Rhinolophus ferrumequinum: one gene and its partners. The protein of the gene in region 1 interacts with the protein of each later gene in a biochemical or structural test. Links are inferred from orthologs where the notes say so. Each region holds a gene or a part of one and is shown in the gene's direction. Other genes may lie near its edges. The genes, in order: LEF1, TLE1, MITF and NLK.

Evidence for each region.
Region 2: the proteins of LEF1 (region 1) and TLE1 form a complex in vitro, tested with the Homo sapiens proteins (2 studies listed by BioGRID and IntAct, with this or other methods). The link is inferred for Rhinolophus ferrumequinum from reciprocal best matches to the Homo sapiens genes LEF1 and TLE1.
Region 3: the proteins of LEF1 (region 1) and MITF form a complex in vitro, tested with the Homo sapiens proteins (2 studies listed by BioGRID). The link is inferred for Rhinolophus ferrumequinum from reciprocal best matches to the Homo sapiens genes LEF1 and MITF.
Region 4: of the proteins of LEF1 (region 1) and NLK, one has a biochemical effect on the other in vitro, tested with the Homo sapiens proteins (4 studies listed by BioGRID). The link is inferred for Rhinolophus ferrumequinum from reciprocal best matches to the Homo sapiens genes LEF1 and NLK.

What each region holds. Positions count from the first base shown.
Region 1 is NC_046288.1:57,709,382-57,717,682, reverse strand, and holds the start of LEF1 (lymphoid enhancer-binding factor 1), read left to right. Parts: upstream 1-5,001; 5' UTR 5,002-5,024; coding exon 5,025-5,237; intron 5,238-5,977; exon of another isoform or gene 5,978-6,512; coding exon of another isoform or gene 6,513-6,521; intron 6,522-7,121; exon of another isoform or gene 7,122-7,136; coding exon of another isoform or gene 7,137-7,193; intron 7,194-7,812; coding exon 7,813-7,879; intron 7,880-8,301. Other genes in the region: uncharacterized protein LOC117022360, read right to left, coding at 3,874-4,160. UniProt on the Homo sapiens protein: Transcription factor that binds DNA in a sequence-specific manner. Participates in the Wnt signaling pathway. Activates transcription of target genes in the presence of CTNNB1 and EP300.
Region 2 is NC_046295.1:45,522,591-45,530,349, reverse strand, and holds the start of TLE1 (transducin-like enhancer protein 1), read left to right. Parts: upstream 1-4,328; 5' UTR 4,329-5,677; coding exon 5,678-5,701; intron 5,702-6,479; coding exon 6,480-6,580; intron 6,581-7,759. UniProt on the Homo sapiens protein: Transcriptional corepressor that binds to a number of transcription factors. Inhibits NF-kappa-B-regulated gene expression. Inhibits the transcriptional activation mediated by FOXA2, and by CTNNB1 and TCF family members in Wnt signaling.
Region 3 is NC_046300.1:63,431,241-63,439,428, forward strand, and holds the start of MITF (microphthalmia-associated transcription factor), read left to right. Parts: upstream 1-4,951; 5' UTR 4,952-5,123; coding exon 5,124-5,227; intron 5,228-8,188. UniProt on the Homo sapiens protein: Transcription factor that acts as a master regulator of melanocyte survival and differentiation as well as melanosome biogenesis.
Region 4 is NC_046304.1:19,217,724-19,225,159, reverse strand, and holds the start of NLK (serine/threonine-protein kinase NLK), read left to right. Parts: upstream 1-3,982; 5' UTR 3,983-4,976; coding exon 4,977-5,434; intron 5,435-7,436. UniProt on the Homo sapiens protein: Serine/threonine-protein kinase that regulates a number of transcription factors with key roles in cell fate determination. Positive effector of the non-canonical Wnt signaling pathway, acting downstream of WNT5A, MAP3K7/TAK1 and HIPK2.

The sequences.
Region 1 (8,301 bases):
CCTCGGGCTCCGACGCAGAGAGACGCGGACGCGAGTTCGGCCCACACCAGCACGAGCGCGGGAGAAGCCACGAGAGGGCTGAAGCGGCGGGCTGGGGCCGCGGGCTCTGTAGGCAGGCCCCCGCCAGGCAGCGCTGGCCCCGCGGAAGCCCCGTGTCCGCAGGCGGCCGGATTTGGGAACGACATTTTTACGGTCCCACGAGTTCTGTTACCCCGGCGGATGGGGGGTTGAGTTTGTTTGTCTTAGGAGGAGGCAAGAAGAGGCGGAAGAACCCCTGGGACACAAACTGCCATTTCCCTCGCCCTCCCCCTTCTCCCTTAACCCGAAGTCCGTTAAACTGAAGATGCGCACAGCTTTAGGCTCGGATGAAGCGGGGGTGGGAAATCGAGGATGCTGGAGTTCCGTCTCTGGAATCATATTCTTCGTTTATCTAGTCCTTGACCATCGCTTCTCTCTCTTCGAGCATCCTCTTCCGTAGGCCCCCGCCACCCTCTTCCTTTGGGATCCCACCAAAGTTGTAGCTGGGAGCGAGTCCAGGCCACACAAAGGGGAAGACCCGGAGCTTAGGCGGGGGGTTAGGACCGAGGGGGCGGAGAGGGCTCTGAAGGGCACCGCGCTTTTCTCTCCTCCCTGTAATTAAAGACTCACTTGAGTGTCTGTAACTGACTTGACTTGGCAGCAGAATCGCTGGGGGGGAGGGGTCTATGGTGTGGGTGGGGGTCATTCTCCCAGTTCCCTTGCCCACACCCGCGGGGGGCTGGGCCCGGTTTGCCCTAGGCTACCGGGCGCGTCTCCGCTCCCCCTTCCTCTGTTCCGGCGCAGGGTGGGCGCCTCGCCCCCACGCGCAGCCCTGCCGACGGCGCCTGGCGCAGCGTAGAAGGAAGTGTTGATATAAAACAAGTCACTGTTCGCTCCCCAAATTAACCCCAACCAACCAAAGCCACCAAGGGGAAAAACCAACAGCAATCCAGCCAGCCCCTAGCAATTGTTTCACGGTCGGAATTAAATCACATCAAAACGCCCCCTGAAACCCACATCCTGAAGGAGTGAACCTGCAACAGCCAACCTCCCGTCGTTCGCTCGAGTTCACACGAACAACCCGCCTCTACATCCGAAGGAAGGGGGCGGCGGGCGGCGGAGTTTCTCCCGCGCTGCACCCACCACATCCCGGACGGTGCACCTCGAGAGGCGGCTGCATATGTTAATAGCAGCCCCCACACAAATTAGAAAAGACCTCCCGGCGACAGAAAATGCCTTTGCCTGGAACTTCACCGAACCTATAGGGAGGAAGGAACGTCTTCCCAGGGTTACTTCGCCCCTCTGGTGCCCCCCCACCCCACCTCGAGAAACAGACTTCACGTGGAAATGTCAACCTCCTTCCCAGACAAAGCTTTAAAAAACTTGGGTGAATGTTTTCTAGTAAAGCCTTTAATTGCAGCCCATCAGAACACTTGCAACAATGCTAAGGACACTCAGCAAAACACCTCGCAGTACATGGGGAGGGAAAACAGCCACGCAAACAGAGCATGGCATTGGGTGCTTTCGTTGCAAACAATTTTTCCAAAGGAGAGGGTTACCGCCAAATACTAAATAAAGGCAGCCACTTACCCTCGGCCCTTCTAGTAAACAGCTCCCACTAGTTATTGCTCCAAAAATTCCCATCTTCTCGAGCGCCTCATCTCCAGGACACCTGGAGTTGAGCTCCAAATGACTCAGGGAGTCCAGATAATTAACACGAAGGAGAAGATGGGATTCGAGTGAGTTGCAACACTTAAACGGGGATGTAGGAGTCATCATTTAATCTCTCTTTGGCTTTCAGAAAATACCCTCTGGCCACGCTGTGTCCCCCCTCCCCCTCCTCGAGTTTGATGAAAAGGAACTTCTACTCTGGCTGCTTTGGTGAAACTGCATTTTCCAGTTCTTTTTCTGTCGGTCAAATTGGCACCTTGTGGAACGACTTTTGACTACTTTGTTTTCCAATATTTCATTTAGAACAGAGGGTATACATGTGTGACATAGTTACATGTTCGCGTCTCTAGAACATTACACTCACATTGGTGCATAACTTCAATGGAAGTTGCTGCATATGGCCACCAATCAAAAAATAACACTGGGTTTCTTTCCAACCTTTTCAGTATCGCCTTATAGACACACTGCAGCAGAATATTCTTTTTGTTTTTCTTCTCTAAGGATTGCATTGTTAGTTATTTAAAGTGGGTTTGATGTTTTACTCTTCCTGGCTCCCATCACCAGCCCCCAACCCCACCTCCTGTGAATTTACCTGTGACTACTGGCCATGTTCTATGTGATCGACTGAAAATGGTATAGTTTTTTAAATTGCTTCTTAAAACAATTCCCATCCCTAAGAAAAAGTTGTCAGGTGAAGTTTCAGGTGGTCCATTAGAGCATTGTTAACGTCTTTTCTTATACAATATCCAACAGCAAGCAATCACCCCCTCCCACACACACACACACCCCTTAGGAAAAGAAGAGGGATCTTTGCCTGACTGTTCCTACCGTATATAATAGAGCTAAAGTCTGATTCTGTAGTGTTTTCCTTATTTTCAATTTAAGGGATATGGAGACCTTTATTCCTGCCCCTTGTTTACTGTTCTGAGGTTTTACAAATGGCTACTTCATTGGGTATAATAATTTCGCCTGGATTTTTAACTGAGGGGGTTTGAGATCCAAGGAACAAAGTGTAATGTGTTTTCAACTTCAGCTTCGTTTATACTGTAACTTTCACAAAGCATCTCCTTAAAAGTCCTGTCCTTGTATAAAATGCATCGGTGGAGAGGTGGAGACGGTGGAGGCTGGGGAATTTTTGAGGTTGGATTCGGATTTGCATTTTCAAGGGTCCCTTTGAGCCCACGTCGGAGGTGCCAGAGGCTACCCTCTCTCTACTGGTTTCGCTCTTTTGGGTCCTTTTACCTTCTCTTCCTCCTCTTTGGGTTATTTTTTCATTCTCTATGAGATCCCCACGCATTGTAGCGTGTATCTCCGAAAATCCAGGAGAGACCTAGCATAACTCTCTCCTTACATCCCATGGCGAGGACATAATGGAATAGATCTTGTTTAAAAAGCGACAATTAAGATCTTCAGTTTTTTCTTCCTCGTCTTATTATTCTCGGTAAGCCTGGAGATTTTATTTTTGCTAGCATGTGCTCTCTTGTCCTTTGACATTGTATTTAGGAAAGCCACAACTCTATTCCTTGTCCTTCCTGCTTCCGTTCTCTTGTTAGTTGAGCAATGTCTGTTATATTTTCCCCTTTTCCTTCTCTGTCTCCGATTCCCGCCTCATCCTCTGTCAGAGCATCTATCAATGTGGTGTCCATCACAGCTGCGGCGGCTTCGCTTTCATCTTCCCCTTGCCTGAGTGAGGGAGGGGAGAGAGGGAGGCGGAAAGGAGGTGGGGGAAGAGACTGGCAGAGGAAGGGGGCGGAGGGGGTGCAAGAAGAGGTACTTAGATGAAGTTAAACCATTCGGGCAGTTTCTTGTCAATTTCACGCGGGCAAAGCGTGCCTCTCCGTGGGTTACAAGGAGCGCCCGGTCCTTCCTTGTCAAATTGTGGGATCCTTCCTTCCAGGAGCGCGCTCGCGCGCGCGCACGTACACACACACACACACACACACACACACACTCACACACACACCCCAAAACTAGGACTCGTCCTACAGGCTCTGGGAAAGAAAAAAAAGTCCTCAATCACCACCTCCAACTCGCGGTCCCCCTCCTCCCCCCACCCCAGCGGGCAGCCAAGGAGAGCTGGAGGCGGGGGAGGGGAGGGGGAGGAGAAGCGACGCAAGTGGGTAGCTTTTCAGCGCCGGCGAGGCGCGGGAGGAGGAGAAGCGGTGGGGAGGCGCAGCCGCTCACCTGCGGGGTAGGGCGCGGAGGAGGGATCGGGGCTGCGCGCTCTCGGGCCGAGGAGCCGTCGGGACGCGCCCGGAGCCCCGCACGCAGCCAAGCTCCGGGCGTCCCCCTCCCCTCGGCCGGGCGAACCCGAGGGGTGCAGCTCTTTGCTTTGACAGACCAGCCCGGCGGAGGCTTGGAGAGCGTCGAGAGAGCGAGCGACCGAGCCAGGCAGAAATTCGAGCCGGGAACAAAGAGGGGTCGGGCTGTGTGTGTGTGTGTGTCTCGGCTCCAGCTCCTGGCAGAAGCATTTAGGTCCGAAGCCCCTGCTGTGACACCCCGAGACCCCACGGTGCCCTCCACTGCTGACTCCTAGCGCTCGCCGGCAAAAACTTTATTCTTGGCAAACTTCTCTTTCTTTTCCCCTCCTCCTCCGCCCCCACCTTGTCTTCCTCCTCCTCCTCTAGCAGATTAAACGCGTCTGGAGAAGGAAAACCGAAGCGAAAGGGAAGGAAATAAGAAGCTCTATAACGGACATATTCCAACACGGGTCGCTCTTTATTTTTTCTCCCCTCCAGGAAGTGGACATTTTGTTCCCTTTTGATTCTCCTGAACCTTCTCTGCTGGGGTAAAAGGAGACTTTTTGCCCAGCTCTCCTCTATTCTCGGAAAACTTCCAACTCGGCATCCGGGGGAGCTAGGGTGGAGAGGTTTACGTAGAGACGCGCCGACGGACTCTCCTCTGCACTTTGGAGAGTCGTGCCTCCTCCAGAACAGGCGTCCTCTGCGCGCAGACCCCGGAGGAGCTGGGGGCGTGGGGTGGCCACCGGAGCAGCCAACCCTAGAGCACCCCACATTGTGCCGCGCAGACGCCCGCAGAGGCGCCTGCTGCGGCGGCCCTCGCAGCCGGGTGCCCATCAGCCTCGAAGGCGGGCGCAGGCGAAGGTCTCCGCGGAGCGGGAAGGCGCGGGCGGCCGCCGGGGCTCAGGCGCCGCCGCAGCTGCTCGGGCTGCGGGCCGCCGGCCCTGAGCTAGCCGGCCCAACTTCCGCCCACTCTCCTCCCTTACGCATCCTTCCAATTCTCCTTTCCTCACCCCCCCTTTCGTTGACCCGCTCTCTTTCCTGCTGTCGCCTTGGGTGCTCCCCCAGCAGAGCGGAGATTACAGAGTGGTCGGGATGCCCCAACTCTCCGGGGCAGGCGGCGGCGGCGGGGGGGACCCGGAACTCTGCGCCACGGACGAGATGATCCCCTTCAAGGACGAGGGCGATCCCCAGAAGGAGAAGATTTTCGCTGAGATCAGTCATCCCGAAGAGGAAGGGGACTTAGCCGACATCAAGTCCTCCCTGGTTAACGAGTCCGAAATCATCCCGGCCAGCAATGGACACGAGGTGAGCGGGCCGTTGCCCGAGCACCAAGAGGCGTGGCGGGTCCCGGGAAAGAGCAGAGAACGAGGGAGGGAGGGACGGCGCCGGGCAGCCCCGGCGATGATCCCCCGGAGGTCCCTGGTTTGCTGGGGGGCGGATGAGCCCCTGGTCCGCAGTCTTCCTTTGTGTGTCTGTGTGTGTGCGCGCGTGTCGGGTGGGAGGTGGAGGGGTGTGCAGGGAAACTTATTCCAAGTGGATCCGTTTGGGGTTCGGTGGCTAAACCGTTGGTTTGCGGGCAGGACAAGCTGACCTTAACATGTTTGGCCTTCGTAGTTTTCAGTGGCGTTGAGGGTGCAATGCATTAAAGCAGGGATGTCTAAACTGAGAAGTTCTTCCGTAGGACGGAAAACAAAGTGCACCCGCTATCTCTCGGTAGCTGTCTGCAAAAGTGCGTTAAACCGCCAAAGGCTTAGGTAGAGACGAGCAGAGCCACAGGCGGAGAGGAAGGGGAGGCGGGCGTGGGCCGGGGACAGGCGGGGCCGGTCCAACTGCCGCTGAGCGGGGCTCGCGCGGAGCCGGCCGGCGGAGGGGCCTTGCGCCTGGGCGGGTGGGGGGCGTGCGAGGCTCGGTCCCTTCGGCCGCTGTAGTCCCAGCGCGAGAGCCGTGGGCGCGCGGAGCCGATCCAACCCAGGGGGCCCTCGCAAGTACCGCCCGCAACACTAATTTTCTCCTACACAAGTCACTTTTTTTTTTAAGCGCTTGTATTTGAGGTTAGATTGGCCCCGGATCAGGACTTAAATCTATGCAGAAGACAGGCGAGTCAGTGGAGATGCGGCGGAAGCCAGGGCACCCACTCAGGGGAGGGTGGAAAGAGCTTTATCAGATCTCCTGGCCCGCGGCAGGCGATAGCGCTGGTAACCCGAGTAGAGTAAATAGAGACACGTGGGTGCCAGCGAGAGAAAGCCGCGAGCGGGACCGCGCGGAAGGGCTATTTCAGGCCGCGCGAGAGCTTCAGAAGGGGTTGGGGGTGGGCGGATGGACCCTGATACCCGACACTCCACTGGCCACTCTTGTTCAACAGCTGGGAAACGCTTTGGAGGAAATCCGGTAGAAAAGTTCTGACACTCAAATGATTTCACCAACGCTTTTTCCCTCCAAAGAAACTTCGAGGGTATACCCTTTGTCCTTAAATGGAATCCTTCTACCCCCAAAAAGAAACCCTGTGGTTTTGGGGGCGGGGGCATTTGGGGTTTTAAACAAGGCGTTTAAGAACACCTCAGAGTTACCTTCTTTATCCCAATGGCAGGGGTGAGTACGCATTTTGGAAGGCTTGGGGGCCTGGGTTCTAAGGAAAACATATAAGGGTGTTCTTTATTCTCTGATTCTTTCATCCCAACATGCCAATTTGAGGGGGACGTGGGGGGGGGTCTAGGGTGCACCCGACCCCACTTAAAAGGTTTGTGACTATATGTGTATTGGGGGGAGGAGGGCATTGGGGGACACGTGTCCAAAGAACCAAATAACATCCAAACATCTCAGAGGCCAAACTCTCCTATTTGTAGAGAAGCCTCTTTCTATCCATTTTGCTGTCCTTTCTATTCAATAACTTAATTTGCCACCATTTCACATTTTCTGTGTGTTTCTGCTCTGGAAAGAAGAGCACCGCATTTGAAGCCCAGAATCCAGATATTAGGGCTCTGTTAATCTTTGCCATGGTGGTAAGTGGGCATGGGGCAGCCCCAAGGAAGATAGTGAAGGGGTAACACCACTGATTAGCACGTGGTTGAGCCTGGGTGGATGGTGGTTACCAGAACTGATATTAGCTGGGCTACCTTTTAGATGTCTAAACCCGACTCTCAAATTTTCCTTTCTTTAACCACAGAGTAGTTCACTTTTCTCTTGTAAGCTTGCACTCAGCCAGCCATGGTAGGTTGTAAGGAGTGGAGCTCCTGCTGGGACTGGCTTGGGACAGTGGCTTCTGTGAGTAGTTGGCTTGTTTTTATTTACAATGCCATTTTCAGTTGAACAATGATATTTCAGCCTGCTTTTAATTAGATCTGATTCAAATAAACAGATTGAAGAAGCTATCAAAACGATCAACTCCATTAACTCAAACTGCTATCGTATTAGGCATCCCAGTAGCCTTGATGTGTTTTAGCAAACAGCAGTCAGTACAGCATGTGGGTCTTTCCCAAATTTACTATATTATTATTATTTTCTTATTATTATTTATACTTTTTCTAGTCCTGAGTAGATAATAATGAGTCAAAAATACTGGGGGGTGCCAAAAAAAAAAGGTATACGCATGACTTGTGTTCATCTTTTGTTATCGGTATATATTGAGTATTACAATTTTAATACAGTTTTTTCCTTTCTTAAAATGTGTATACATTTTTTGACACCCTCTGGACATGTTAAAAAGAAAAAGATTTCCCAGGACTCAACCCTAGCCTACACCTAGTAGATTAATAAAACGGGTAGACTAAGTTGCATCTAATGCTCCTGCTTTGAGTTACCAGTGGATACACACTTCTATCAGTATTTTCACAAACTCTAAGGTGATTTTCTTTCTTTTGGGGATGGGCATTCATGATGTTAGGTGGCCAGACAAGCACAAACCTCTCAGGAGTCCTACCACGACAAGGGCAGAGAACACCCTGATGACGGTAAGACTAATTCTGTTTCTTCCAACTATTGTTTAACATGTGCAATTTGTGAATATAAGTGTTTTGCTGTTTTGAGTCCAAGAAACTGGGATGAGATGTGATAAGACTGTGCCCACTATTTTAACAAGATGGAAAAGAAAACCCAGGAAACTTCATGCTTATGTCTAATATATATTTATGTAATTTAAAAACTGTCTTTGAATGAGTTAGGAGCCTTTTGATTTCAGTTGGCTTCCAGATTTTTTGTAGAAGAGCAAATGTCATTATCATGAGTTTTCCTCTTTTCCTCATTTTACCTGAAGTTCTAATTGGCTTTGTCTTGAGCATTTTTTCTTGCGTTGTTGACAATTGGTGTAAAGAGTGACAGTTTACACCAGTTTATTTTACAACATGAATAGTGTCAAATGGATTTTCGTTTGTGA
Region 2 (7,759 bases), on another chromosome or scaffold:
CCTTCCCAAGCTTGGTCTCTTGTACCTTGTAAAAGTACTAAAATTGCAAAGGAGACATTTTTAATTATAACTACTACAGTAATGAATTCAAGTACACTCGTTTGTCATAAAGGGCTTTCCCATCTGTCTCTAAAGTATACTTAAAAAGGCTGTGTATTTGATAACATTAGCACCAAGCAGCTTCTACATGTTAATGTTCAGTGTTTTAGATGTTCGCTCCCCCATCCTCAAAGACAGCATGGTGGCAGTTCCAGAAAGCACATTTATCGCTGTGTTTGGGAGTGTCTGTGTGGTCTCTTCCTAATTTATTTGCACTCCAATCCTCAGGGATAGCTTCGCAATCCCTGTAGGCTAAGAGAGATTAGAGATCGGGGTTGTCTGCTTCTCCCCACCCTCACAGAAAAGGGAAAACAACTTCCCCAAGTCCCACAAGTTCTTCTGGCCACTGTACAAATTGTTCTTGAACATGGAGGGTTTCCAAAAGCCCTAATTAGCAACTCACAGCAAACATTTCTTTGCATTAGCTAATGATCCGGCTACACTTGTAAGCAAACAGAACCAACATATCTAATCAATGCTGAAAAACCAACCAAATGCCTATTAAACATCTGGATGTAATTTTCTAGTTAGAACAAAATGAAAACATATGCAGGTCCCTTTGATCTGCGTCTTAACAACAACAAAAAAAATGTTGATAAAAAAGCATACTGGTCAGTCAATGTGTCATTTTCATAAAGTCTGCTCGTTTCTCTTCAAATGCTCCCAGTTTAATTTAGTTGGTTTCCTGCAATCTCTAATTTTACCATATTGTGTGAAACCACAAGAGATTCTTTGGATGTGATTTTATTTGAGGTTTTACTGCTGCATGGATCTGCTACTGATTTTTTTCTTCTTCTCTGCTTTCTCCCCTCCATCCCCCATGCCCACTCTGTCCTTTTCTTTGGTAAAAGGGTGTGTGTGGGGGGGAGTTATAATGCAATGTTAGGAAAATTTCTTCTGGACTCTACAGTCTTAGGTTTAAGAAACTCCCAATTTAAAAAAATAAGTCTAATGAGGAAATGTATACCCAATAATTCACAGTTAAAAGGAAGAGAAAATTACAAAACTGATCTTTTAAAAATTGACATATTATTTCAAATAAAAAAGTAATAGATTTAAAAGAAGATGCATAATTTCTATGACCAGCAGATTTTCCTACTGTATCTAGTACTTATACTATATGTAACATCTAGTTTTTGTAGTTGGCTTATGCTATTGGTGAGCTGCAAATTTGATAATCATCAACAAATGGATGAAAATATACCCATATATGCATCAGTGATAAAACAAACAATCTAACAATCTTTTTGTTTCTTTTGCAGAGGATAAAAAAGGAACTTTTTTTCAGAGACGATTTCCTACAGAAGTGGAATACTTAATACTATTTCATGTAAAAATAACATATGAATATGTTAAAGAAGATTATGTTTAATAGACTTTAAATAGAAGACCAAAATTATAGATGTTATGAGTAGGACCATTTTCTTTTAAACAGGCTGTAGGCAATCTACACATATATTATTTATTTAAAACATAAGATTAAAGCTACTTGATTGTTTAAACACCATAATTTGTAATGCAGTTTGATGAGTTTTGTAGTATAATTATTACAGCATGACAATCACAGAGAAAATATGACCTTGAAAAGAGACCCAGCCTTCTCCCTCTCTCAAGGAGGATGCGCTGCCCTAGAAACAAGTCATTGAAAACCCACCATCTTTATGCACACAATTAAGGGCCTTCCAATTTTGAAATCATCACCCTTTCTATTCTTCAGTTATAACATTATAAGGAAATCAGAGGCCTGGTGTTTCAAACTCTACTGGTAAGGAAGCACTAGTTAAAAGAGAGTTTCCAATTTTACCCATGGCAAACTGGGAAATATAGTGAGTAACAGCAAACATGTTTGCCATAAACAGCTATATTAGAGAAGATTTGAAGACAATGTTTTGAAGGGGATGGAAAGGTGATAGTAGAGAAGAAGTAGCAACATTTTCGTCCTATCTCAAAATATACCACTTTAATTTTCTCTGTTTAAATTTAATTACCAGCCTGTGCCAGTAAATCAAAGCAAAACGGGTAAGTGAGAGAGAAGTCTCAGTGGCCCCAGTTGTCCCAGCACGCACTGGCATATTTGTGACATCCAAACACTTTCTACACAGTCCTGCAGCTGATTATGGGGTGAACTGACCACAGATTAGCACATGTAGCCCAAACACTAGATGAAGATTTCAAGGCAGACTGGCTGCCAAAGGACAAAGCTTAGTTGCCCAGGGATCATATGATGTTAAGAAGTCCTGTGTGTGGAGCAAGCCTGCTCTGGTCATCACCAAATTTAACCAAGAAAAGAGGGGCGGTACTTCTTCCTTTCCATTCTCCATTTTAGCAAAATGAATATGACCCCCTTCCTAACTCTACTTAATTTGGTAAGAACACTGCAAAGCCACAATGCCCAACTTGATTAAGAATTTACAATGGACTTGTACAGCTGGCTAAAATAACTCCTTTAATTTTTCATTTATAATTGATGTTTGGGATTGATGCAGTTATAGACAAAACCATATCATACATATTTAAAAACAACTGCAACAGTGACATGTATTATCCAAAATGATTCTTTTAATATTTCAAGGAAAAGATCTCTGTAAAATAAAATGTATTTCTGCTTAAATTGTTTTCCGTAAGTCTCTTGAAAGTAAAATAATGGGACCGTGGGGTTATTAGTACTAAAAACTTGGTAAGTACATTCCAAGGTAACATGAATGCTTGTCAAAGATGTCTCTTACTCATGGAAGAATTCACCACCATTTGTCCAAAATAGCATTAGTCACTCACCAATCATGTGGAAATAGCTCCACTGAACTGTTCTTTAAACAAAAGTATAAATGCGGCAATATTGAAGGTTTTCTGCTGCGCAGTATATTTAGAGAAACAGACAAAAACCAGATATTTATACGGTATGCCCCATTTATTGAAAATCTCAAAATCCCTTTTATTTAAGTCAAGTTCCAAATCCATCTCATAATTTTAGCCATCTTATTTACCCAGCGCTTCTTATTTAGTTCCTTACAGGGCTCAGCCCTGGATACCACCCAAACTATGGGTGTGGGGTGGGCAGGACATGTTTTTTAGGTCTCAATGCTGGTTTATCCTATTGTCTCCCTTTGTTTCCAGGAATTGGAAACAGACTCGCGGTCATGTTAATGGGAGGCTCCTAAAACTCTCAGCAGTCCCTTACTCCCCAACACGGAGAAGTCGGAACTTTTAAGACAAGGACCCTAGATTTCGAGCCCCGGGGCAAAGCATCCCATCTGCGACTGGGACGCGCGTGCCTTACACTGGCAGCACCTCGGGTATACTTCCCGCTAAACGAGAGCAGGCCGACCTTTTCGCAAAGTGGTTTCAAATCCTCCAATAAAAACCAAATCCTATCACCTTGGGTGCAAAGGGGGCGTGGGCATTAAAAGCCTCGTCTTATGCGGCTGGTATACATACGCCAGCTAAATGCGTTGCCCACTTATTTTCCATCAAGTGCACAGTCCACTCCCCGTGCACCCGCGTAAAGGCAGCCCAAAGAAAAACAAACCAGAGAAATTTTTGAATGTGACCTCACTTTGAAAAGAGTAGCATCAAACAAGGGGATAGCACCAAAACATGCATTTGGCTCCAACTACCAAAAAGCCCCCTCTCCCATAAGAAACTACGCGGTTAGTCGCTGAGTTACTTTCACTGAAATCTCAGAATTTTCATTTAAGGGAACAGTGAAAAAGTGAACAGTGGCAGGAATTTTGCAAACTCGAGCCCCCAGTTTCCGTGGCTGCACACTTGCAGGTCCCTCTCGCTCTCGCGTTCCCGCGCGCTCCCTCCCAGGCCCCACGTTACTTTGATTGACAGCCGGGCCCCGCCGCTCTCCTTCCCACCGACCTTCCCATCCACAGTGCCAATCTCCGCGTCTCGCAGCTTCCCATTGGCTGGCTTCAGCGTCCCGCGGCTCCTCCAGGAACAGTTCCTCACCGAGCCCGGGAGGACGCGGCTGGCTGAGGAGGGGTGGGAGGGACCGGAGGGGAGCCGGTGGAAACAGCAGAGATGGAAGCAAGTGGAGTGGGAGGGGGGGGAATAGGAGGGAGGCGGCCCGTCCAGTGCTGCGCCGCCATAGGCTGCGGGGAGGGTTGCGTCAGCACCCCACGTTGGGCATCGCGCATGCGATTGGCTGACGCTGGACTCCGGCTCCCCCTCCCAGCCGTCCGGGCCCACGTCGCCCGCCGGCTGGGTGCTCTCGTTCCCCGCCCGCCCAGGGCTGGGCGGGGCCCGCGCTGGTTAGCTCCGGAGTGTGAAACCGCGTGTTAATGTAACCGGCGCGAGAGGCGCGGGCGGCGGCGGCAGTGGTAGGAACGGCGACTGCAGGAGCCGCAGCAGCGTCGGCGGGTTCTCTGTGCCCCGCGTCCCCGAGGCAGCCGACTGCACCACCCCCACCTTTTCACGGCCGGGCGGGACCCGCGCCACCAACCCGGACCTTCGCCGGCCCGCGGCGACTTAATCCCGGTGGGCTGCGGCTGCCCCGAGTACTCCAGACTCTCCCGCGGAGTTTGCCGGCCGGGAAGGGAGGCCGAGCGGCGACGCGCACTCCTGTTCTTCTTGCCACCATCTCGTGGATGTCGTACCCCGGGTCGTGAGAGAACTTTGCAGCGGGCTGGAGCGCCTTTTACGTAGAGGCATACGAAGGGAAGGAAAGAAAGAGGACCCAGGAAGGGTCCGAAGCGGCCGGACGGGTTGTGTGGGGCGAGTGCTCACCGGGCGCGGCTCCCGGATGCGCCCTGGCCTCAAGGAGCTGTGGGCGACCGCGGGACTGCCCTTCGTGGAGTAGCCCCGTCGGGCCTGGAGGGTTTGTGCAACCGCGGAGAACACCGAGTGCCGGTCGTACGGGGTGTGCGGGGCAGCCTCCCGGCGCGCCCTCCGCACTTTCCCAGCCTCGCTGTCATTCCGCGCTTCTCAGCCAGGGTTGAGTCTGCGGGGCGCCGGGCGCGGAGCCTACACCGCGGCTGGGACCTCGCTCCCCGCCGCTTTCTAGGGGCCCGCGAGTGCCCGGCAAAGGTGCTGCCTGGACCCGCGAAGGTGGGCTCCGAAACGTCACTAGGTTGGTTTGTGTGGGGTTAGCCGGCAGCCACCTGCACCTCGCCCGCTGCCGGCGCCGCGGGGAAAACCCGGAGAGGAGGCAGACCGGGAGAAGAGCAAAGGAAGACAGCCCGTCTGGATTTGTTTGCCCGGACGGTTGCCGCGCACACTGATCGCCTACAGGAGCGCGCCGGAGTCACCGTTCCCCCACCTCCTCGCCCAGGCGGCTAAGGCCTGCGGGTTGGAGAACAGCGCGGTGTCGCGGAGGTTCTTCGAGCAGCTGGGCCCGGGGTGCCCCACGATGTGGCCCTGAACGCGGGAGCCCACACTGGCGGGAGCAGGAGCAGCCGGGCGCGGAGTGGCCCGTGCGCCCCGCCGAGCGCGCCTGCGTGCGTGGCCAGCGGGCCCCCTGCGCGTCGCGTTTCTGCCGGGCTTACTGGCTTAATTTTTCTCGGCGGGATTAAAGTTGGAAATTGAGCGGAGAATTGAGTTGCCGGGGAACAGAGCCGCGGCGGCAGCCAGAGCGATGTTCCCGCAGAGCCGGCACCCGGTGAGGCGCGGCTGGCCGGGGAGACGGGGGTGGTGGTGGGGGGAGCGGGGGGCGGGGGGCGGGAGGCACTCTCCGTGCTGTGGGGAGGCGGGTGGCTGCTACATTCTGACGGACCCCCTCGTCTCCGGGTCTGCAAGATTGGGAGGTCCCGGGCCCTGCTCTCTTGAGGTGGGTAGTGGGCTGAAACTCCCAATTCCCCCCACCCCGTTTCTTCTGGGTCACCTCCTGCTTGACGTCTAGACAGGGTGACGGGGGCACCGGGAGAGGCCGGGGTTTCGCTCCCGCAACCACATCCTCCTCCTCCCCCGGGGAGGGGAGGGCGCCCCCCCGCTTTGTTTCTGGTCTCGCCTATTTGCATGTCAATGCGGCCCCCGTTCCGGCGCGCTTAAGTTGGCCTTGGCGACTCTGGGAACGGGGAGCGTTAGGGATTTGTTTTTCTTTTCTAGTCCCCGGGGTCTTTATCGCCCCCGTGGGGGAGGGCGCGGCGATGACGACAGTCTGGCCTGGTCCACCCTGGCCGCCGGGGAGCCCCTTTTCCTCCAGTCTGGTGACCCGGGAAAGGCTGGAGGGGGCTTAGAGCCTCTAGAAGCCGGGGGTCGGCGGAGTGTCCACTTTCCCTCTCCCCAAAGTGAAGCGCAAACTCGCGTTCGGGACTCCGTTATCCGCCATTTCTAACTTTATTTTTTGTTTGTGTTCCACCCACCTCTCTGTCCTCTAACTGCTTTATCCACCCGCCCGCATCTCCGTCCCACGGTCCCCCTCGCTGGTCGTCCCCCAGACGCCGCACCAGGCTGCAGGCCAGCCCTTCAAATTCACTATTCCGGAGTCTCTGGACCGCATTAAAGAGGAATTCCAGTTCCTGCAGGCGCAGTATCACAGGTGCGTGTCGGCCCGCGGGGGGCGACTGGTTGCCCGGGCAGTCCCGTGCCCCACGTCGCCCAGCCCCTGGGTGGCGGCGGCGGCGGCTGTACTTAGCATTTGTGTCCAGGCGGTGGCGTGTGGAGTCGCAGTTAAAACCTGTCATTCACGTTACCCCCTTTCCTGGCTCTTCCCGGGCCGCCTCTTCTCTTGTCTCCTCCTCCTCCCATTGTTTCCCTTCTGCCGGTTTGCTGCTGTTCCAGGGAGTCTATTTTCGTGTGTTTAGGAGTTAAATGAGAACTGTCAGTATTTGCACTTCATTTATTTGTTTTGCAACAAACAGGCTGAGCTAAAACCTTGGTTCAGTCGATGCCCCAGCCCTGGAGTGTCGGTTCAGGGAGGCAAAGCCAGTGTTGAAATCGCTGTTTGCTATGGTAGAGAATTGGGCTGAGGCAAAGTCCATTATGGAACGCTAGATGCTTTTAAGCTGTGCCCATCATTGGTGATCACGAGGGGGGTGGGTGTGTCAGGGAAAGCTAACCTGCTTTGGCGTCATTTCTGGGTAGATTTGGGTAGAACAAGGGATTGGAGTCACATTTGTATCCCTCTCAGCTTTAGTCTCTTCATCTAACGATACCTACTTCAAAAGATTTGTAAATAAAAACTATTTGTAAAGCACCACATCCATAGTGGACTTTCCAGAAATGTTAGTTTCTCGTTCCTATGAAGTCTTAGCTGATTAGAGCTAAGAAATAGCTGTAACGACAGTTTTTATTTTTGTCTTGCTTGAGAAAAAACACAGATGCTGGGGTGTGAATTTTCTTATTTTGTCAGAGGCTTTCTGATTATTGACCTTTTGTCTGCTTGAAGATAATAATCTCTAGAGCTTGAGGCATCCCTACCCACACACTGTTTACCAAGCAGGGAGGACTTCAGCCCACTTCACTGCAGTAGCTGCTTGACATATTTTGGCAGGGATTTGGAAATCAAAGGTTTTAAAAGGGACCAACAATTGTAGAGGTAACTTTACAGGTACAGTGTTTCAAACCTAGAGACTTTGAATTGGCAAAGGTAGTGCAGCTTTTGCCTGAGACTGAGGATTGTGCAAAGGCCAGATTTTGGTGGAGTCCGGAGAAGCACACTTTGATTCAGGGAAATAGGCGTGAACAGATGACCACCAGGAGGAATCAGTCTTCTGGG
Region 3 (8,188 bases), on another chromosome or scaffold:
AACAGTTTTCTGTTATTGACATTGTTCTCCCTCTGGGCTTGTCTCATCTTTTTAAAGTAACAAAATAGTTTCATTACCATTCAATCCTGTGCTTATTAAAATACACTTCAAATAAGAGAAACAGAAGTTGAATTAGATTATGTTTGAAAAGGAGGTGGGGTGGGGAAGCTTTATGCGTTTTTGTACACATAACTGAATTTACTGCTGTCAGGGAGACTGCAAAATAGGTTCATTTTATATTTGAAAAATATTAAGTCTCTAAAGTAGGGATGGTTGGGTAGCTAGAATTTGGACACAAAACCTAGATCTGCCAATCAAGTCCAGCCTTGAACTCGGACTGAATGATAAATAGGTGAAGTAATTGGAAGTAATTGGAATAAATAGGTGAAGTAATTGGAACTCTGTCTGATCCATTCTGGTGGCAGGTGGTTGTGGCTACATCCAGTTCCCAGCATTTCGACAACATCCCATGTCCTGTCAGGTTAAGGGGGTAATTTGTGATGTTTAGTGACACAGTGGTGGCCCTGGTGGGGGCCTTCACTAGCCCAGGTCCATGGCATAGATTTTGGAGTGGTTCCTAGTTGCACAGTGTCTGTGCCAGATTCTGCTGCTGTTCCTGAGGCTTTGTGAGCTACTCAATACACTTTCAATGAATTCCTTTCTGCTTAAATCAACTATGGTCAGTTTCTGTTGCCTCTTTCCTCAAACACACCACATGCAATCCTGCGTCCATAACTTCTCATGTCCATTTTCTCTTTTTGAATCACATGCCTTTTTATCTAATTTTATCATAAAGTATACCCCATTTTAAAAAACATTATGACAGTTTATTTTCTCACTTTTTTAAGTTTAATTATTTTATCATGGAAATTTTCAAATATACACAAAAATAGAGAGAGAAGTAAACTTCCATGACACATTACCCAGTTTCAACATTTTACTCTAACAACAGATAAGAGCTTTAAAAAAACAAGATGAGCAGAATATCAGTATCATACTTAATAAAATAAACAATAATTCTTTAATATCATCCAATTCCAGTTCATGTTCACACACTCCCAGTTTTCTCCAAAATGAATTTTGACAATTGGTTTGTTCAAATTAAGCTCTAGACAAAGTCTACATAATGTATTTGAGTGATATCCCTTTTTCCCAGTTCATTTTCTTAATAGTGATATAATTTACATGTCTAATATGTCTCTTAAATCTTTAAAAATCTATAACAGTTCCTCTTTCCCCTTTATTTCATGCTACTTATTTTTTGAAGAATTTCTCAATGTCTTGTAGAATTTCTCAATTTCTGGGTTTGTCTGATTGCATCCTTGTGGTATTATTAACATGTTCTTCTCTCATTTTTTCCCTGTAAATTGGTGGTTAGATCTAGCAGCTTGATTAGATTCAATTTTTATGTTTTATACCCTAGATTTTTTCCTTGTTTTTTTTTTTTTCTTTTTTAGATCTAGGTTAGTCACATCTCCTCTGAGAATTCTTCACTTCATCTCCATCCCTGCCCTCAGGTGTTGCTGCTTTCTCAGATACTTGTTGCACCTACCTGTCTATCACTCTATTCATTCATTAAATCATTTTCATTCCTATTTCTGAAAGGGCTGGGACTACGCCCTGAGTACAGGGCCCATACATGGCTCATCCCTGCTATTTCCCCATATCTAGCACGTAATGTGGCTGGCACCGACTAGATGTTTCATAAATAGTTGTTGAGCTAAATGGATAAGACAGTACTAATCCTACACAAATGATCTGCTTCTTAGCACTTAATGTGTGGTTTCTCATTGTGGTACAAGCTTTGACTTAACTCCTGCACTGTGAGTCTCTTGAGAGCAGGAAGAAAGTAAAATTCATTCATGTATTTGGGCAACCTAACTCAATGCCATATCCATAACTAGTGCATGTTCTATACATATTAGAATGGAAACCCTTGCTCTCTATTCTTGCTGGATTTCTATGAGCTCAAATAAGAGGTACATATGACAAGCATTTGCAAAAAGTAAAGTATTAGAAAAATATAGGTCAGATTATTAGTGACAGTAATTACAATCTCTAGCCATTACTTTTGTACTTTCAATAGGCACAGTCCTTGTTTCAAATATATGGGGCTGTGAACTTTAAATCACCTTTTTAAAGAAGAGGTAACTACTCCTACTGTTTACTTCATTAACGAAGAGAAATTACAAGGGACAACTCGTTATTATGTGGATTAGTGTTATGGCAGTCCACAGAAAATGTTCCACCTAAAGGAATGAAAAGTCTTTAGGATGATTACTCAATGCTCTTGTGGTTGCAAGTGACAAAAGCATAAACCAAAATATTAATAGTTGCAGCAAAAAGAAAAAAAATTTGGTTTATAAATTTGGGAAATCTAAGGATATCTGCTTCTCTGATTGTTGATCTGATCTCATTCTCTCACTTTTTTTTTTTTATCAGCTTCCTAGGATGCCATAAGTAATTAGCTCTAAGTTTTCTTCCCTCCAGCCCCATGCTTCCCAAATCAGACGGTCTTCTCCAGTTGCCCTAGCAGAAAAGTTCAAAGGAGGACTTCTAGTCATGTTAGGATGCTGTCTGTCTCAAAAGAAATCACTGTGGCTAAGAAAACGGGGCCCACTGATTGGTCAGGATTAGGTCATATACCTACTTCCATTGGGTAGCAGATGGCACTGCAATCAATATCCTGGCCATATGTAATGGAAGAGAAGTTTTTCTGAACCAAGAGTAGAGTGAGACCAGAAGAAAAGGTGTAGGGAGAAAAAATAGCAGGTATCTGTGCGTACTTCAGAGCAACCTCAGCTCAGAGCTCTGCATCTTAGGGATCTCTCTGGAAGGTGCCCTTGGTTGGAGGTAAGTTCAGGGATCTTAGCTTTTTTGACAGTTTTTTCCCTTTAAGTTTGGTCCCTTCGGTCTAGCGGGTCACTGATATAATGAATGACCTACTAGATTGTTTCACTATGGTTCTAAAGAGGTTATAAACTGCGTTTCTAAGATGAAGGCCTTCAAAGGATGAACAGACCAAAATTATAAATAGAATCTTATTTACATTTATATTTTCTGGGGAGAAGGTCCATAGCTTTTCCTTTGATTAAAAAGCTTCTGGTGAACCAAAAGATTAAGAAGACTCCAGTGTTTCTCAACAGGTGCCATTGATTTCTGGACAAGAAAGTTTGTTACTTTACAAAATGTATAGCATCTCTGGTCCACACCCTTTAAATTTCCTGTAATATCCCCAACTCATTATGAAAATCAACCACGTTTTAAGAACCAAAAGCTGAGAATCAAGATGAGAGTAGAAGTCTAGGTCGAAAGTTCTCTTTGTGTTTTACCTTTCTCTTATTTCTGGCAGAGAATAACACTTCTTTAAACTTTTAACATCTAATTTCTAGCTTTCCATCTATCAAGGGATCTGGGATCCCACATTCATGAGCACAAAAAGCCCACTTTCCTCAGGACTGTCCAGATATTTTGCCATATTTTAATGGAATAGTGAAGGACCTAAAGGTAGTATTTTGGGGAGTAAATTTTATTGTGGGATTTTGGCAGTTGTGTACCTCCTGCACATTTCCCCAAATCTCTTTGTGGAGATCCTTAACTCTAAAATCAACCCATCCTACTTAAGATCTTTTCTATGTGAAATTACAATGTTTCATATTGAGGCAAAATGGCCAGCTCCTGGCAGACGCCTACCCAGTAGCCTCCTTAGTTTTCTCCTAGGATGATCACTTCGTTCATGAAGTCTGAAGGACAAACTCACAGATGAAATGTTAGTCTGAAAGGAGTATCTTCAAGATCTAATAAATAAAAGGATGACCACTGAGCAGCAATGTTTATAGATCACAAATCACTTTCTCTTGCATTTGACCATGCAACATCTTCGAAAACAAGCTCGTCAATCACTTCTTTTATAGATGAAGAAATTGAGGCTTCTAAGAATCAAGTGACATGCCCCAAATTGCACAGCACTTTAGAGAAGGACTCAGGATTTCAACTCTGGATCTTAACACTTTCAACGCCACCCTCTAACTCACTACCGCCTCCCTGATGCCTCAAGACACGTTTAAAAGAAGGAGTCCATCCTACTGGAACTAATCAGAGGGTGGACTGACAGCAAAAACAAGCGCTTACAGAGCCCGGCGCTTACAGAGTGCCGGGAAGCTCAGGCTGGGGGCTGACACTTGTACAGTTTTTTGCTCCACAGCTTCACCCCTGAAATGTTAGGACAATCTCGTTTGAACTCCCAGCCAACTGAGAAATTAAAAACAGACGGTGACTACGTTGTTTTGTTACTTGGTGCCTTTTTAAATTAACGGAGCCTTTCAAGAGCTGCTTTAGATTAGAAGTGGCTAATTGGATAAAGGGAAAGAGACATTCAGCTGGATGAATGGTATTGTAAAGCTCAGACTGAATTATAGAAAAGGAACGCCCAAGAACACTTTCCACAATAATATTTCAATTACTAAGTGTTCCTCCACTCTGTTCCAATCAGAGGACACGATGATGTGTCGCAGCAGTGCTGGGAAGCAAGCGGGCTGATAGGAAGTCCTTTTATTTTAAGGCAGGCATAAAGGCTAAAACTTTCTAAAGCCAAAACTATCCACTTTTTTTTTTTTTTAAATAATAAGGACTCGGCGTCTCCTCTCAAACGTCTGAGCTGGGAGGAGGGGTGACGGTAGGAGAGAGAGGCTGAGTCCGTTCTTATTACTATTAAATAGCCAAGTCTGTACCCTTGAGGCAAGTGGGGAGATAGAAGGGAGAGGAGCTGCTGACATTGACAATGAATCCAAACAGGAGTTGCACTAGCGGTGTCCACCACGCTGCCTCTGTCCCCGCCTGGCCTTCTGGGAGTTGTAGTTTTCGCGGGAAGGGCTCCCCCAGCGAGCCGGGAATGCCCCGTCCGGGCCGAACTACAGATCCCAGGCAGCGCCCGGCCGCCGGCCCCTCCCGCCCGGTGCGAGTGTAAACTCCCCGCGCCGGGCGGGCGGCCGCGCGCGGGCCAGCGGGCTGAGCTGGGCACTGTGTGGGGGCGCACGCTCGCAGGACCCAGGCCCCGCCACCTTCTGTCCGCTCGCGGGCTCAGTTCTCCCTTTCGAGCAGTGGAAGGACGGGAAGCGGGAGCCATGCAGTCAGAATCGGGGATCGTGCCGGATTTCGAAGTCGGGGAGGAGTTTCACGAAGAGCCCAAAACCTATTACGAACTCAAAAGTCAACCCCTGAAGAGCAGGTGAGTGGTGACAGCTGGAGGAAGGCGCGGCTGGAGGCTGGGGGTGCCCCGCGCCTCCCGCCCTGGGGCGAGAAGAGCCAATCGCCCGGGCTCTGGGACAAGGACCTCGTGCCCTTGCCCCGGGGCAGAGGGCGAACTGCCCCCCGCAGTTGGGGTCTGCGCCCGTCAGGCCGGTGCACCTCTGGGGGCCTCTGCCCAAGCGCACTTCGGGGGCTCAGCGGGCAGTCCGGGTGGCCGGCTCAGGCGTGGGGACCCTCGGCTGGGGATGCCAGCTGCTGAGACCGGGTGGGGGCTGGGGAGCGACCCGGCGTGGAGGTGGGGGAGGAGGCGCGGGGCCCGGCGGATGGCCGGCTGCGAAGGGGGAAAAGAGTTTCTAGTGAATCCTTCTACTGAAGATCCCAGCGGGCTGATCCGAGAGGGAGAGCTTGGGGTAGAGCGAGGCGCGACGTTGGAGGGAAGCAATTAGCTCGTTTGTTGTCGCCTCTTAGGAATCTGGCCCCTCTGGGAAAACCCGCCCCTGGCCGCCTCCAGGTGAGGTTTCGCTGAGCTCTGCCTCTCACCTTCCTGACGGCGGCCAGGGAGTGGGGCGGGGCCGGGGGCCGTGGGTGGGCGTGTCTCCGCGTCCAGGTTCAACTCAGTGGGCAGTAGAGTCCCATTCAAATCCAAGCGTATGCTGGAGGGGAGAAAGCTTTGGGACTGGAAGGCATTGGCAGTGTCCCTTCCACGGCAGCGATTTAATTAGCAAGGGACGTAAACTTTTTAGGAGAGGAGTGAAGACACCCGCTGGTCTGGCGCCCTGCCACCTCCGCTGCCCACTCCCTGTTCTACCTCCATTACCACTTCTCTGGCGGAATGGGTTGGGTGTCTTCCTTTCTCGGTCCTCGGGCCACTCCGAACATTTCCAGTGTTTACTAAGAGGGAGATGGCCATTTCAAGCTGTGAGAGTAGAGAGGGTTTATTTCCATCCCTCTCGGTTGTGAGATAAGGCTATTTAACTGGAAGGTTCAGAAGTGGTTCTGCACCCACCTCAAACCTCTCTGCCTGCCCCTCACTGTGGGTAGGGCTTGGGTTAATGGGCCCGGCGGACAGAGGGGATGAAGGGCCAGAAATCAGGGTGAGTGGAGAAGGGGAACCAAATCAGGAGGGCGGGGGTGTAATCTTTGCTTCTGGGGTGAGGAGGCTGGTACTTGGCTCTAGTAGAAAGCAGAGCTCTGTCTTTTAGGGCTGTGTCCTTTGGGGCTGTGTCAAAACTCCGAGCCCAAGTTGAGGAAGAAAATCTGAACAGCACACTCACTGACTGACCCGTTGCTGAAGCAGCCTCTGCAGATGCTAAGGGAGATTGGAAGGAAACCTCCTCTGCAGTTAGACGAATAAAACCCGCCTTTAGTTGGTGGTTTCTCTTCATAATGGCTGTTTTGTGTGTGAGCATAGATTGTGTGTGTTGGGGGTTGAGGGTTTTGAGTAATATTGTGCAAAGGGTATTGTTGGTTATGCTCACTGGGGCTTTATCTGCACTCAGCTGAAGGGACCAGTGTTTTACTGAACAACCTCTGCTTTTGCTTCTATAAGCAAATGCTTACATGGCCAGAATGAGGGAGTGTGTGTGTGTGTGTGTGTGTGTGTGTGTGTGGTCCTGAAAGGAATGAATTCACTGGACTGTTGGGGACATTTTTGATGGTAGCTGATACATAACATTAAATGAGTTTTGAAAGTGAGGAAAATACCATCTGGAAGAACCCTCATGAGTGCCATGAAACTCATGTTGAAGGATTTGGGCCTGTTCTTTTTCAGAGTTGGCAAAAAATTACTTGCAAGGGTGAACGTCCTCTGTAGCTAGCTGGCACGTGTAAGGAAAAGTGTGGTACCTGGGAAGAAATGGCTTCACACACGCTGAAGCTAGAAACAGGTGTGGGACAAAACCAGGATGAAGAGGAAGGCTAAATTGAAAAGGTTGGAAAACTGGAGCAGACACATGCTCTTTGAAATAAAGCAGTTAAACAAAATCTGGGAATAAATATGTGGGGTTGACAGAATTTCTCCATAGTGTTTTCCATAGTTGCCTAATGTATTGTCATCGACATGTGTTGTGTGTCTTTAAAAGGGCTACACATTGTTCAGAACCTTCTATGGCTTTTTGTCTTGAGTCTTTGATGGGGCACCTCCCTTCTTATACATCTTTGTTGGAAAAAGTTGAAATTGGAAGTTTAAGACGCTGTAGCTGTTTCGTCTATCGGTTGTATTTTCAGGATTGTCTCTTGGGGTTGGAAATATGTCGAATCTGCCCACTTCTCACCAACTCACTCCTCTGCGACCGCTTTGGTCCAGGCCACCATCACCCTCGCCTGGGTCATTGCAGTTGTCTCTTAACTGGTCTCCTGTCTTCTACCCTTACGCGCTTTAGTGGGTTTTCAACATACAGCCACAAGGTTCCTGTTAAAACCGGTTCTCAACCTGGGGCTGATTTTGCCTCCCAGGGTTCATTTGGCAATGTCTGGAGACATTTTTGGTTGTCACAACAGAAGGGGCTCGCTACTGGCCTCTGAGAAGTAGAGGCCTGAGATACTGTTAAACATCCTACAGTGCGCAGGATGGCCCCTACAAGGAAGAATTATCTGGCCGCAAATTGTCACCACCGAGGTTGAGAAACCTTGTGTTAAAACCTATCGCGTCACGTCATTCTCTACTCAAAAACCTGCAGTGGCTCCTAGTTTCAGTAAAACTTGAAATCCTTGAAATGGCAGAAGGCAACCAAGGTCCCTGTCAGCTCTGAGTGGATCTCTTGCTGCCACCCTCCTGGCTCGCCTGCTGCAGCCCACTGGTCTGCTTGCTGTTCCTGGAACGCTCCAGAGCCTCCCCCCTCAGGCCCTCTTAGGTTGTGTGTGCTGGTCCCGCTGCCTGGACAGTCACAGTGCTCACTCCTCCCTCCCCTCCCCCAGCCTCAAGTTGTCCTTTAAATGTCCT
Region 4 (7,436 bases), on another chromosome or scaffold:
TAAGTGCTATCCTGCTGACTAACTTCCGACTTCTTGTTCATCATGTTTAGCTCCTGAAAATGGAACAGAATGGAAAGGGCCGGATACTGTGCTGTCTGGTGATGTGTTTCAGGGAAATTGGGTGGCTGTCAGGCCAGCCCCACGTGGATGGAATGCTGGGGACATGAACAGTGCCCAAAGTGTATTTCTCATCTGACACTGCAGGACACGCTGCCTTGGATTGTAATACTAATAATAACCACCCCACTTACTATCTCTGATGAGCCAGGCAGGCCCTGATGAGCTCTGTACTTTCCACAGCTGTCTATTTGAATCATTACCACCACTGGAGAAGTTAGGGATCCTCTCTATTTTATGGACAAGGAAATTCAGACTAAGACAAGTTAAGCAACTTGCCCAAGATCACAGAGCTAGGAAGGGGCAGAGCAGAGATTCACACCCATGATCTAGATCTATGCTGTCTAATATGGCAGCCACTAGCCCCATGAAGCTAATGAGCACATGAAATATGACTAGCATGACCGAGGAAATTGATGTTTTAATTCAACTGAGATGTACTGTAGACGCAAAAGATATATCAGATTTCGGATTTCGAAGGCCTAGTATCAAAATATATATACAGGGCCAGCCCGGTGCTCAGGTGGTTGGAGCACCATGCTCCTAACGCCGAGGTCGCAGTTTCGATTCCCACATGAGCCAGTGAGCAGCGTTCTCTACAGTGAAGATTGTGAACAGTGGCACTCCCTGGAGCTGGGCTGCTGTGTGCTGCCACGGGCTACTGTGTGCTGTCAGGAGCAGCCGGTGGCCAGTGTGAGTGGCCGGCAGCCAGCATGAGCTGCCATGAGCTGTGAGCAGCCGACTGACTACCAGCGACTGACTGCCTCAGCCAGGGGGGAGCGCAAGGCTCATAACACCAGAATGGGCCAGGGAGCTGTGTCCTACACAACTAGACTGAGAAACAACATCTTGAACTGGAGTGGGGTGGGGGTAGGTGGAAGAAGGGAGAAAAAAGAATATATATACAACTTTTACATTAATTACATGTTAAAAACGAAAATATTTTGGATATATTGGGTTAAATAAAATATATTAAAAATAATTCTGTTTCTTTTAATTTTTTAATGAGTACTTGAACATTTAAAATTTCATAGTGCCTCTCATTATATTTCTGTCGGACAGGACTGATCTAAACTATGAACATTAAATGGTCACTAGACCAGTGATTTCTCAATATCTTTTGATAATTTTGGAGGGTCATGAATCCCAACTTATGTATTTAAAGATTATATACATGTACACTACTCTGTATATTATGTACATTATAAAACATTCACAAAATGGACATTTTAAAAAGATGAAATAAAAAATAAGCAGCATTTATTATACTAATTTCCTCCTGGAGCCTATTCCTAGTTCACTTTGCACCACCTGGAGTGTACACACACCAGTTTGGAAATTCTTGTACCACGCTTCGAGTCCCTGAAGGGCAGAGACTTTAATTCAAGTATCCCCCTCCTCCACTTTTGAACCTAGCACCATGCCTAGATACAGTTCATGTTCAATAAATGTTTGTGGCAGAAATAAATAGCTCTTAAGAGCAAACATTTTCTGGTCGATTGCATGTATTTATTTCACACGTCTTGAGTACTTTCTAGGAGCCAGATACTATACTAGGTGCCGAAAGGTAAAAGTTTAAGAAGACTCAGCCCCTTCCCTCTGGCCAGTGCTTTCTCAAACTTTGGCACATGTAAAAATCACCTGGATGGCTTGATAAACAGATTCCTGCCCCCACTGCCAAGACATTCTGATTCAGTAGACCTGAGACTTTGCATTTCTAAGATGCTTCTAGGAAACTATACTTTGGAGGAGACTGATATGCATCGGGAAATTGGAAAGGCATCCCAAATACTATGTGAGCGTGGGACTAGGGAGATAGAGTGAAGATATACTAACTTTTACCATTTGCCAAGAACTTTAAAATATATCACCTAATTTAACATCTCAACTTGACGCACATATTATCATCTTCATTCTCAGCTGAGGCAACTGAGATTCAGGTTAGTTAAATTACCTAAGTCAGAACTAGTAAACAGCCTAGCTTAGATTGGTACCCACTTCTCCTGCACTCAATAACTCATGCAAATATTGTTGCTTCTTCATCTTTTAGACACTGCCTTAGGACACAGGCATACAACATTGAGTGGGACAGGCAAGCTTTCTGTCCTGGTCAAATTCAGTAAACAATTAAAATATAGAGTTCTCAGTGCTATGAGGGAGGCAGTGCCATGGAGCTTTATAACAGAGACACATACTCTGCAACACTGTTGGGGAAAGCTTTCCAGGACAAAAAAGTGAAACTTACGCTCATATGTGAAGACCTGAATGAAGAAAGTGGGAACCAGATAGTGCTGGGCCATTTACACTTACTGACTTTCATCAAGGGTAGGGACATGTTAGACTTGTAGTTTTAAAAGATTGCTATGCTCTCAATGGAGGACGGATTAGAGGAGAGTTAGCCTGTAGGCAGCAAGATGCCTTAAAGGTGCTAGTGGTGAAAATTTGGGTAATACTGTGGTGACTGGGGTGGGAGGAGGGGCGTGTAGAAGTGTTTAAAAGTATTTAAAATTTGATAGTTGATTAGAAGGGGAGGAGTGAGCAGGCAAAAGAAGAATCAAAGATGATCTCCAGGGTTCTGGGTGCACACTTTTATTAAAATAAGGTTCTGTAAGCTTATTATTTCATATTTTAAAAAGAAAATTCAGATAAGTGAGGTTATGTGAAAGTGAAAGAAAGATGTTATTTTAGTAAGATTCAATGACTAGAAATTATTGACTTGGAAAGTATAGGAGAAAATTACGACATTTGTTGTTAAGTTTATTATTTTTGTTGTTTTAATTTGTATTTGTATCGATAGCCTTACTGTCCGTTGAGGGTGGAGTTGTGAATGCTGGAGATAATGCTTCTTTGTGCCAAGATCAGGATTAGCCATGGAGGACTAGCCATAGGCTATGAACTGTCAATCTACTGAGTTTCTCCTGTGACTGTCGTGTTGAGTAACCTTGGACCTTGAGTTTCTGTAGCTCGACATCCCTCTTTGCTCCCCCCTGTTTCTCCACATCTTACGCCTTTAAAAGGGATACTACGGTAGAGGGTTCCCATCAATGGACTAGCGCAGATTTAGACTCCGCCTTCTTCGCCTTGGTCCCGCCCCTTTCTTTAGACCACACCCCTTTGACTTAGGCCCGCCCCCTGAAGAGGTCGTCGCTGATATGACAGCGAATTCTCCACAATCCTGACCTATAGGAGATGTGAAAGGTGGGACTGAGGTCAATCTTTTCTTCCATTTGTCAAATCAAGTGTCTATCTGGCCCTAGTCCCAGCCCATTTCATTTTCAAGCCAAGGATTGGTTGCTCTGTTCGTGGTCCCCAGCTCATTATTGGTTCTTTCATTCCACCCTCTCTTCCAGCTCTTGCAGGCGGGATCAGCACGCAGCTTCCTGCGCCTGCCAAAAAAATAAAAGAAGAAAAAAGAAAAGAGGAGAGAGGCGAAAGAAAATGTCACGGAGATCTTTGGTTTTTAATTCGCTTTTAGCCTTGTCGGTCAGGCCAAACTCTGCCTTTTGATTGGTCTTTCTATCTGCCCATCCTGGATCGGGGGCGGGATTTCCCCAGGAGACCTACACCTTGTTGCCACTGGCCGAACAGTGCGCCTGTCTGAAGCTCCCGGCCCTGGATTGGAGGCGGACGCGGACAGGTGGGCGTGGATTGGCTAGGGCAGCCGGTCAGTGTGAGGCGGGGGCGGGGCCTTGGCGGCTGGTTGCGCGTGTCCGCCGCTGGCTCCGCTCTATCCGGCTTTGCTAGGGGAGGTGAGTCCGGCCGCGGCGGTACCGGCGGCTGAGGAGGCGGCGGCTGAGGAGAAAGCGGCCGCAGCGACTGAGGAGAAAGCGGCCGCGGGGACGGAAGCCGGGTGGGGGGGAGGGGGGGAGACGGAGCAGCCTTGAGCCCTGCGGGGGCCGTCGTGCGGGGGGACCCACCCGCTCTCCCCCCCAACCCTTCAAGCAGAAGCAGCCGGCGGCGGCGGGGGTAGGAGTCAGCCCGCTTCCGACTGCACCCCGCCCGCCTCCCGGGGGCTGCTATTCTTTGGCCCCGGGACCCCAACCTCATCCCGGGGCGGTTCCCTCTGTCGGAGCGTCCGAGTGCTGCCCACCTCTCTTTCATTCCTCTGCACCTCCTTACCTTCACTTTGCCCCGGTTCTCTTTCTCCTCTCTGCCCTGCCCTGCCGCCTCCTCTGCTCACTCTGTCCCTTCTGCCTCCTTCCCTGGCTCTTTTCTGTTCAGGAAAGTTTAGTACCCCCAGTGCAATCAGGTCAACCTGACTAGGAGTAGGGGGAGATGTAGGGAGGCCTGAGAGTTCGAGGGGGGGGGAGCTGATTTCCCTGGAAATTTCCCCTCATCTCTTTAATTTGGGGTGGTTGGAATTTTTTTACATTGTATTTTTGAGGAGGTGGTAGTGTTTAAAAAAGGATGTGGGAATGGAAGGGGTAGATGAGTCAACCCTCTTACAAGATTCCAAGGGTGGTGTGTTACCTGATCCTTTTCGTGTGTGGAGTTCAGGGGGTCCGGAGGTTTGGCCTTTATTCCCACATTCGAAATTGGAACCGCCCCCAAATTAAGGATGGAGTTTTAGTACCCACTTGTGGCAGGAAACCTGGGGGGAAGGGGTCCCTTTTTCCTTTTTCTTTTTTCTTTTTCTTTTTCGTTTTCTTTTCTTTTTTTGGTAACCCACACCCTTCCACACACGCTCACCCCCAATCTCAACACCAAGATCCTCTTCCTTACTTGGATTGACTGATGAAGACGTAAGGCCAGTTACGCTCCATGTTTTTGGAGGTGGAGTGAGTGGTTTTTCTTCATTTCTAAATGGCCAAATGACAGCTTGACCCAGTTTGCTTTCCAATCAAAGAGCATTTTTTTGAATGTCTCTTTGTGGCGCAAGAGCCAACGCAAAAATGATGGCGGCTTACAATGGCGGCACATCTGCGGCAGCAGCAGGTCACCACCACCACCATCACCACCACCTTCCACACCTCCCTCCTCCTCACCTTCACCACCACCACCACCCGCAACACCATCTTCATCCGGGGTCGGCTGCTGCTGTACACCCTGTACAGCAGCATACTTCTTCGGCAGCTGCGGCAGCCGCAGCAGCGGCCGCAGCTGCAGCCATGTTAAACCCTGGGCAACAACAGCCATATTTCCCATCACCGGCACCGGGTCAGGCTCCTGGACCAGCTGCAGCAGCCCCAGCTCAGGTACAGGCTGCCGCAGCTGCTACAGTTAAGGCGCATCATCATCAGCACTCGCATCATCCACAACAGCAGCTGGATGTTGAGCCGGATAGACCCATTGGATATGGAGCCTTTGGTGTTGTCTGGTGAGTATCAGAAGAAAGACACAACTTCTCATGGTGTCCTCTCGTGGTGGTGATTGGGTGAGTCATCTCATGGTTTTCTCCACGTTGACCAAAGTGGAGCAAGCTTCTCCCCTTAACTGTAGGAAGACACGCTCACGTGCGCGGGACAGTGCATTGGCTATGAAGCCTTCTGCTTTGAGTCATGGCAAATTTTGGTGGAGAACCCTCTGATGAGTCACATACATAAGTTTGCTGTCTACCAAACTTTTTGTTTAGAACCTAAGCAAGCCACTAAATGTAGGATCAGTAGTTGAATGTGTGAAACGCTTATTCCTGCAAAGACCTTGGTCATCTCTCCTGTATGATTTAGTTTGAATCAGTCGCCCAGTGGCAGCAAATGTCCCAGCTGACCCAGGCTCAGTTCCTTTCATTCATCTTGCCATGGGGATGTGCTTTGCACAACTACTTGGCTATCCTTTCTGTCTTTTCAGTCCTTAATTTGTGATCTTTATCCTCAGAAAGAGGATTGGGGTCATAGTTGAACCAGTTAAGTCATTTCTTGAGTGGTTTATTTTAAATTATAAAGTTACAATTGGGAAGTATGTAGCTTTAGCCTTTTGATAAGACTGCATTAAATATAGCATCACACATGAGTACCACAAATGAGGTCAGTAGACTGTAGCTATGCAGTGGCCCACATTTGGTGTAATGTTTTAGTGTCATTTAGGGCCTCTTTAGTTCCTGTTATCCCTTGGTTGCTGTAGGAGGAAGTATATTAATACTTTTTAAACATGAAATTCCTCTATCTTTACTAATGCTATGATATTTTTAAAAGTTTAAGAGCTTCTTAAAGGCAACATGTTGTCTCTTTACCCTTCGTAGGAAGATTAGTAGTGTATAATAAAATGTATTTATCATTGTAGGATTCTATTCCTATCAAAACTAGAGTGAACTGAGTTTTTCCCCCAAGGATTAAGTATTCTGGTGTGGCTAGATGAATTGATGTTTTGAGTGTGTTCAAAAATAGATTCTTGTTAATGTCTAGAAAAGCCCCCATCACCACAGGAAAAAGAAGGAACTCTTTGGAACTAGCCTGGTAAATGTTTCCTTTCGTCACTGTTTTTCAGGCTATAAGCGATGAGTATCATTTTTGCATTACATTTGACCATCTTTATATGCAGTTCAGATTTTACAGTGTAGGCTACTAAGTGATCTGATTCTTTTTTAAACTAGTCGAGTCCAGTGTTTGCCCAGCTAGCTCTTTCAGGAGGTTGCTGCTTTAGTGCTCCCTTCCCCAAGGAGAGGGGGATTGTTGGTGGGAAAGAGTGTAGCCGGTAATGGTGCCTCTTTAGTCACTCTGCTCAGGGACCTGCCTGTTCTTGCCTTCCTCTCCTTCCTTCCATAGCCTTTCCTCAGGGATTGCACTGTGAACTTCCATCTCTTGCCTGACCCTTGAGGATTTCAAAGCTTGGGGGAGGGCGATGAGGGTGGTGTGAGAGTGGACAGGAAAAATTGTGTTCCTTGCTTTAAAAGTTCTCACTGATTTACTGAGAATGTGCGTGGATTTTCTTCGACCTGGATGCTCTTTCATTTTAGTACTTTGCGTACAATGCTAAGAACTAGAGATACTGAAGGGGAAACAGGTTGCAGCATTCTTGCTTATGAAGGTGTTACCTATATTTCTATCCAATGGTGATGTGATTTGTAGAAGTCTTAACTTCACGTGGGTGCTAAGGGAAAAGCTTTTATTTTTAAAGGGGAGGGAGGTGAGGAACTGGAGTGCTGAAATGTCTCCCCCAGTGAACGTTCTGGTAGTGGGTATTCTGAATTCCTGATACATGAAAATCCGAATGTGTTTGATGTGAATTCACTCTAGATTCACTGATTGCCGCCTTCTACCATCTGTGGAGTTCGTTCCATGTACTTGAAGTTCCTCCTTCTGAGCACTGTCTTCTATGGCAAGACACCAGTTTTGTGTTTGCCTATTTCACTGACTACATTTGTAAGCCCCTTGAGGGTAAGG